2 linked regions of the Nothobranchius furzeri genome follow. The protein of the gene in region 1 binds, or shares a complex with, the protein of each later gene. Links are inferred from orthologs where the notes say so. Each region holds a gene or a part of one and is shown on either strand. Other genes may lie near its edges.

Evidence for each region. The genes of interacting proteins can lie anywhere in the genome.
Region 2: the proteins of golga4 (region 1) and arl1 are in contact, whole or in part, in a crystal structure (PDB 1UPT), measured with the Homo sapiens proteins. The link is inferred for Nothobranchius furzeri from reciprocal best matches to the Homo sapiens genes GOLGA4 and ARL1. Residues at the interface, in NP_002069.2 of Homo sapiens: Thr2173, Glu2174, Glu2176, Tyr2177, Lys2180, Val2181, Glu2184, Glu2190, Thr2193, Lys2196, Val2197, Thr2200, Val2201; in NP_001168.1 of Homo sapiens: Ile49, Gly50, Phe51, Gln64, Trp66, Ser73, Ile74, Pro76, Tyr77, Cys80, Tyr81, Ser83, Glu115.

Annotation. Positions count from the first base shown.
Region 1 is NC_091752.1:16,173,372-16,176,793, forward strand, and holds the end of golga4 (golgin subfamily A member 4), read right to left. Parts: intron 1,254-3,422; coding exon 1,167-1,253; intron 1,071-1,166; coding exon 1,056-1,070; 3' UTR 501-1,055; downstream 1-500. UniProt on the Homo sapiens protein: Involved in vesicular trafficking at the Golgi apparatus level. May play a role in delivery of transport vesicles containing GPI-linked proteins from the trans-Golgi network through its interaction with MACF1. Involved in endosome-to-Golgi trafficking.
Region 2 is NC_091741.1:56,892,177-56,896,206, forward strand, and holds the start of arl1 (ADP-ribosylation factor-like protein 1), read right to left. Parts: upstream 2,801-4,030; 5' UTR 2,672-2,800; coding exon 2,668-2,671; intron 2,042-2,667; coding exon 1,904-2,041; intron 1-1,903. Other genes in the region: DENN domain-containing protein 11, read left to right, coding at 3,335-3,725. UniProt on the Homo sapiens protein: GTP-binding protein that recruits several effectors, such as golgins, arfaptins and Arf-GEFs to the trans-Golgi network, and modulates their functions at the Golgi complex.

The DNA of each region.
Region 1 (3,422 bases):
AGTAAGAACAACCCTATAAGCACCCCCCAGTAGAAGTATAAATTAAGGGAACTAATGCAAATGAAAAACTGCCACTTATCTGCTGACTGGAGCAACGTTTGAGTTTTTACCAACATCCTTGCAGACTGGATCTATTCAGTGATGCTTTGTCACCGATTCTGTTCTTGCATCACTATTTCCTGCAAAACCCACTCAGATCTTAGCCCCAAGGAGAAATAAAAACCAGCTTTTCACATCAGACACATGACCAATGAGATTAACTTCTATTTAAATGCCTGCATTTCTGTATTCATCAAAAAGTATACTAAACAATAAGAAAAGTAGTTCTAACATTCTCAAGAAAAATATTACAAACATGATGTGGCATCATCTTTAAAATGCCGATTTCTTGTTGCATGCATTGCGACAAAAAACATTAAACTGTGAGCAAAAAGTAAATAAAGACAATTAAAGTGTAAACATCGTAAAAAAGGATAAAGTGACAAAACGTGATTGGTAAATAGTTTCATATTGTATTTATTAGTCTGAAAAATGTGAAGCAAATCACTAAATGCCCTATATTACAGTTTGTCTTTTTTATTATACAATTTACACTCTTGGGTTTGGATTTTTTAACCATTTTAAAATATAAAGTGTAAAAAAGCTGTGAACAAAAGAGGTCCAGAGACCAGAAGGTTAATTTAGTGCAAGAGCAAAGTTGAAGGGTCCTTTACAAAATAACAGGTGTGATTCAGACAAGAGCACAAAACAAAAACATAGAAATCAACCGACTGTCGGCGTCAGTATGCGAGATCTTTTATTGCACAAGCCAGTCTGTATAAACACAACAGGAAAGCCTCTTACCTTGATCTAAAACATAAATAAAATTTATTTTAATGTAGATTATGGAAGATTTTCATGTTTCTGACAAAATACCGAATTCCCTCATACTGTACTCACTCACACACGCACGCTCGCGCACACACACTCATAAAAAATGAAATATGGAAAAGCGCTTGATATACATCATGGCTGTCTTCTCCTTCAGCAGCAGCAGAACATCAGAAGTCAGACGCTCATCGTAACCAAGGCTGTGGAGGCATGAAGAGAAGATTAATGCTGATGGAGCTACTAAAACTCACATCTGAGGGGTTTACAATGTGCTCGGATCGTAACAAGATGCTTACGATTGTTTTTGAATCCTCTTTGTCCAAAACCTTCTGGGCTTGGTCTGGAGAAAACTTCAGCATGGAAGTAATCACTTTGGCCATCGTCTGTAGAAAACAAGAGCAGTTTCCTTTTAGGAAAACGTTGGATTTTCCTTTCACAAATACAAGATTTGGCGACTGTTATCTTTTACACATCACACAGATCAAATCAGAGCAGCTCTGAGACAATTAAAGCATGAGAAAGAACAAAGGAATGAAAATTATCTCCATAATCAACTCCAGGCCCGTCTGCCACCGAGCATACATTTCCCCATAAACTGGAAGGATAATCAGAAACAGGGCTCCTGAGTAGGAACCCGCTTGGCTAACGATGAACACGGCCAGTGTGGCTTTAAATGGCAAATCTGCGTCATGCAGGAAGCTTGTAGGCAGCCTGCAGCACATCCTCCACACAGGGGAGGTCTGCCGTGCTGCCATAAAGAGCAACTGTTTGGTGAGGAGCAGGGAGAACCCCGCTGAGTTTAGGACCCTGCAAACAGCACACTTAAGTCAGGGAGATCCCTGTCAAGCATCATAACCAAGACTGAACACAACCTGACTTTTATACGGTGTCTGAAAGGGCTGTGAAGGCCGTGCTGCAGACAGAGGTCACTGGGTAAAAACTCAGACAGACTCTTTAAGCCCATGCTGTAGTTCTTCTTTAAAACACAGAGCAGTTTTGTTGACCCGTTTTCCCGCTACGTTTCGTTTGCGGCTGCAGACTTCCTCAGGCTGAGGAAACGAAACGTAGCGGGAAAACAGGTAAACAAAACTGCTCTGTGTTTTAAAGAAGAACGGCAGCATGGACTTAGAGATACGACACAGCAACAACACACCTAAGATGTTCAAAGAAAAATACGGACGACAAGGAACGAAAGACTCTTTAAGCATTATTATGGACTTGGTGATTCAGAATCGTTTCATTTGTAGGAAGAGAATTTGTCCCAAATGTTTTTGAGTGAAACTACGTGAAGTTTTTAAACGTCATATTCACTTGTTTATCCAAGAAATCTGCTGTATAAATTAATGAGTTGCTTTCTGTGGGGGGAGAAAAAGCTCTGGTGCTCCTGTTTCAGGAAGTTGAAGTTAGTTAGAAGATTGTTTTTGGGGGCGGAGCAAAATTTAGAGTCCATTACCCATTTACATTCATGACATGCAAGCATCTGGCCTCTACTTGGCTAACAGCAACGTGACTCTTCCGCTGCCTTCGTTCACTCTTCTATCTGAAAACATTCATGTATTCATCAGCCTTTGGATGTTTCCTATGCTGCACCTTCTGCACTGTAACTGCTCACCCTTTAACTTTAAAGTATTTTTTTCCAGATTAATCTGTTCTCATTTCATTTGTGTACTTTGATTGTGCTGTCACGTTACTTTGATGCTCGTGCTATTCTTGCTAATTCAAAGCACATCGAATTGTCTCTGTGTATGAACTGTGCTGCAGAAATAAGGCAGCTTTGCCTTTCTTGTGTAAATAACTCAACGTAGATGTTTTATCTCGTCAAATAACACGAGCCTGAATGCTCCACCATGTTGTGGAGTGGCTAATGGTTAGCTTCTATTAGCGGAGATGCTATCTCCTGGCTGCAAAATCAAAAGTGCTTTTTACAAGATTCACTGTGCCGGCAAACCGGCGTAATATTGCAACAGTGCCTTATAAACGCGCCGTGCTGGCATGACGATGGGTGAATTTTATGGCATTTGTTCCACCTTGCTTAGTAGTAACATTGCAGTAAATGTCTTATAAATGGCGATTGCGCCTCGGTGCAACAGAGGGAGGTGTCATGATGACGTGGGGAGTTACTGCAGAGTTCCGGCCGACAACTATATTGAAAATTAAAGTAAAAACGGCAACCTGAAGCAATGCAGCGCTCCTGGAGCTTCTCTCCATTAGAGCCGGAGGTCAGATCACCAGAGACTGCACAGGGAATGTGGGGAACAGACACCTTTAGGAGCGGCTTGTCAAAAAAAAAAAAAAAAACGTAACGAGCACGGCTTCAATCGCAACAAAAAGCAAGATCGCCATCGCCTAATCTTTTGTAAAAAGGACACGATTGCGCCACATTACTGCCACGGACTGACCACTCAAACAACCTAAGGCTCCCCAATGCCGCCATGGCGTTGTGGCAAATTGGCGGCATTGTTTTGTAAAAATGGCTAACAACAGCCTTTTGTGGTAGCAAGCCAAGGTGGGCGGAGCCATGAATACTCATTTTCCCTGTGACAAATAGAGAA
Region 2 (4,030 bases), on another chromosome or scaffold:
AGACTTATAGTGGATCCATAGTATATCTACGGTATATACTACACTATATTTATAATGTAAAGCGCTTTGGAGTCCTGACTCTGAAAGGCACTATACAAGTATGAGTCATTATAATTCTAGTTGAAACAAAACCAGGTGGAGTCTCCAGACCATGAAATCTATCATCGTATTTTACATCTCCTCATATTCACAGATGAAAAACACAAATAATCTGTGTCAGACTTTAAAGCTAAACTTGACAGATTTAGTGCCCTTTGTGACCCCATTTCAAAACTTTCATTACTTTTTTTTGCTTATGTTTTCATAATTTAGAGTTTGATGGTATAAAAAGTTTTATTCTTAAAAATAAAAATGGAAAAGACTTATTTTGTGGGGGAAAATACTAAAAAATAGGTTTCATAAGGCTGGCTCTACACATTCAAATCACACGAGTCTCTTGCTGATGATTACTCAAGCCATCTTATCAGAAACAATGTGCCACATTTATCATTTTAATATCACACTAGTGTCCTGCAATATGCTTTGATACAAAACTGATAAGACAACAAAATATCTGGGACACGTCTAGTTTGTCCCCAATACTTTTCTATTTTATTAAGATGAATGTCCTCCAGTGTTGAAGGACTTGGACATCCTGCACTCGCACCACAGAAATACTTATTCACAAACACCTTTCATTCTGCACAAATAAATATCTAATTATCATAACTAATTAAGAAGAGTCCTGTAGCATTACATGGTGTTAGCAATTATAAATCAAGCACACTTTCAAATGTCTACAACAGGACATTTGTGTATTTATTGGTCATGAAAAAGCCATTTCTCACATTAGCTTTAATCAGAGACGTTTGATCTGAAAGTTTCAGTTTGATTATTTACACATTGGTCGATGTATGTACATCAAGTCCAGACCAAATTAACTGACGCAAACACTAAAAATACTATATTTTTTGTAATCTTTTCACATCCCAGGAAAGATGGAAACTTTTCTGGAGTAGGGCTGGGCGATGGCCTAAAATCAATATCACGATAAATTGAGGATTTCACCTTGATAACGATAAATGGACGATAACTACAGGTATGCGCAGAAACAAAAGTTTTCCACTAGAGGGGGCTGCCACAAGTATTACATTGAGTCACATTTTTACGTGACACATGGTGGAACAGCTTGTTAAAGCGACATGAATGTTGCCAACCTACACATAATTCTTCCATTATTTTATTATCAAATTTACTGACATGGGAAAAATGATCTCAATAAGAGTCAGAAATTTCGATAATGATAAATTTTTTATTTATTGCCCAGCCCTACTCTGGTGTTGATCAAATTTTGACACATGACCAGCAGGACACTGTATACAGGTCAGATGAAATATAAACCGAATAAAAATAATTTCAATATTCTAGCGAGGGCGCCAGACCTTGCTCTATGTTACAGGTTTCCCTGACTGCTTCTGAAAGAGTTATTGTCAGTTTAAAAAAATAAGCCAAAACAAAAATTCTGCCTTATTTCTGTGTTATATCAAACTGTATCTTGGATCACTGGCATTAGGCAAGGCAAGGCAGCTTTATTTATAGAGCACATTCCAAACACAAAGGCAATTGAAAGTGCTTTACAATTATCTTTAATTTTATATAATAATTAATTAAAACTCTGAAGTAACTTGCATCAAATATAAATATAAGAACTCATGCTCTGTAAAAATCGTAATAAAAGTACATCCTTGTGGAAAATACCACAATAAAATTCAAGCATTTTTAAGGATTTAAAGCATTCATAAGATCTGGGTCTGAAGATGCTCTTTGGAAAATAATTATAATCTCACTGGTATTAGCTGGTTTTCTAGTGATTGAGTTTAATTTAAAAAAAGAAACGAAGAGAAGGAAGACAAGCAGTACATACTAGGTATTGTGGTGACCACCTCTCCAACCTGCAGCCTGTACAAAATGGTAGTTTTTCCTGCACCGTCCAAACCCAGGATCAGAATCCTCATCTCTCTGGTACCAAACAAGCCAGAGAACAGACTAGAGAAGAAACCCCCTGCAGAGGAAACACGCAAAACCAGAATTAAAGTGAATAGATTTCTAAACTTGGCTTTATGGGGCTGACCCATTCCCTTAATATCTCAGTAGATAATGACACAAAGCAACGTGGATCTTACTCAATGAATACAGAAAATGTGGAAAAATATAAGTCTCAGATTTGAGAATACTTAAAATACCTAAAGAGATTCTTGAAGGAAACCAAGTGTAAACTAACGGCTATACCACTAGAAACCCTTAAAATACCTACTAAGTGGTCTTGTTTTGGCACATTTTACAACAATCTGTGGCTGAGCAAGCTAGCGGATATTAGCTTGCCTGTTTAAAGTTATCACGTTTTCTAACCAATAAAGTTAAACATCGTTGCATATGGAACGGCATTGGTGGTAAGCAATATATTCAAGCTCCCCGCATAAAAACCTAATGAAAACGATTAATTTTGAAAGGACAACGCACGTCAAAATTCACTGTAGATGTTAGCCAGCTTAGGCTAACTGGCGTCTCCTATTGCGTTAAAGGGCTGGGGCAGGGATGAAAATTCGATTTATCACTTCTTACAAGAGTAGTTTGCATAAAACAAGTGAAAAGTATTCACATTATGTTCTAGGAGTATATAAAACTCACCCATTTTCGTCAAAAGCGCGGACCCGATGAACTGACAGGTTAGTTCCGTCTGGTTGACGTGTCATTGCAGGAAGTGATCAACGTTCGCTTGAGTTCACTTTCGCACATTCGTCACACAAACAACGTCACCATCTGTAAATCAACACAACAACTACATATTTAACAAACGTAAAATATATTCTTGAAATAAAATATAAAAACGTTATCTTTCAGAACATTGAAGTTTCAAGTGTTTGTGTGCACCTCGTAAAAAATATTAATATATTTTAATAGAAAGTGCGGCTCGTCAAAATCTTCACAAGCCAAGGGACGCTCGGGGATGGGGTACGTTCAAGAAACGCGATTGAATTTGCGCTTCGAAACATCCAATGGTTGTTTTTCTTAGCATGTGCGACAATAAATGTATGGTTTTGAACGCAACTTCAGCCAAAAGGAGTTGCCCTTTCTGAGCAGCATCAAATTTATGATCTCCAGTTATTAGAAAGAATTTGCAACACTTCATGCGAATTCAGAGCAAAATGTAGCCATTGTGAACAGTTAGAAATAACTTTGATATGTATGAAATGCAGTGAGATTTAATTATCCGCGGGTGGACTCGGTGGCTGTCGCCTGAGACATCGTTTACCATAGGCGGTGAGAGACCGACAAGGCGGCACCACCGAACAGGATGGTGGAGCGGTCGGACCGAGCCCCCCTGCTGGACTGGGAGGAGGTGCCGACAGCGGAGAAAACCGACGGAAAGGCACCTGCGGTCCCTCACGTTAAGGAGCGGCTGTCCAGCCCGCCCAACAACCGAGCCCCTTCAGGATGCTCTGGGTTTGGGTGGAGCAGCGGACCAGGGGGTCCCACCAGGACTGTGTCCAACGGAGACGGCTGCGGTGCCCCACCCGCGACCTCCGGCGCTCCGGCGGCGGTGGATGAAGCGCAGCCTCCCGACAAGGACGCGCATCTGTCGGATCCAGGAGCCATAGAGGTGTCTCTGGAAGACAGGATGGTGAAGTGGGAGGAAAAGGACCAGATTGTGTCAGTCTTTGTAGTTACATTTAATACCAGAACAGGTGAGACACAATGTGTTTTATGACATTATTATAAATATAAAAATTAAGTGATGATTTTATATGTGACAGACAAAGAAAACAGGAGAAGTCTCTGCATACGTCTCTTACAGGTGTGGCTTTTTCCTGATCTGACCACAAGTTTAGACATCACTAAAAGTCATGACATCTTAGCCTGATTGCAGAGGAAATGCCAGGAGTGGTGATGAAAGTCAACCAGCTGATGGCTTCAGCAAAGTTGACCTTATGCGTTCTTATTTAAGGACGTTTAAAACCCTCTATACCTTTTGAATCAGGGGTAATAATTA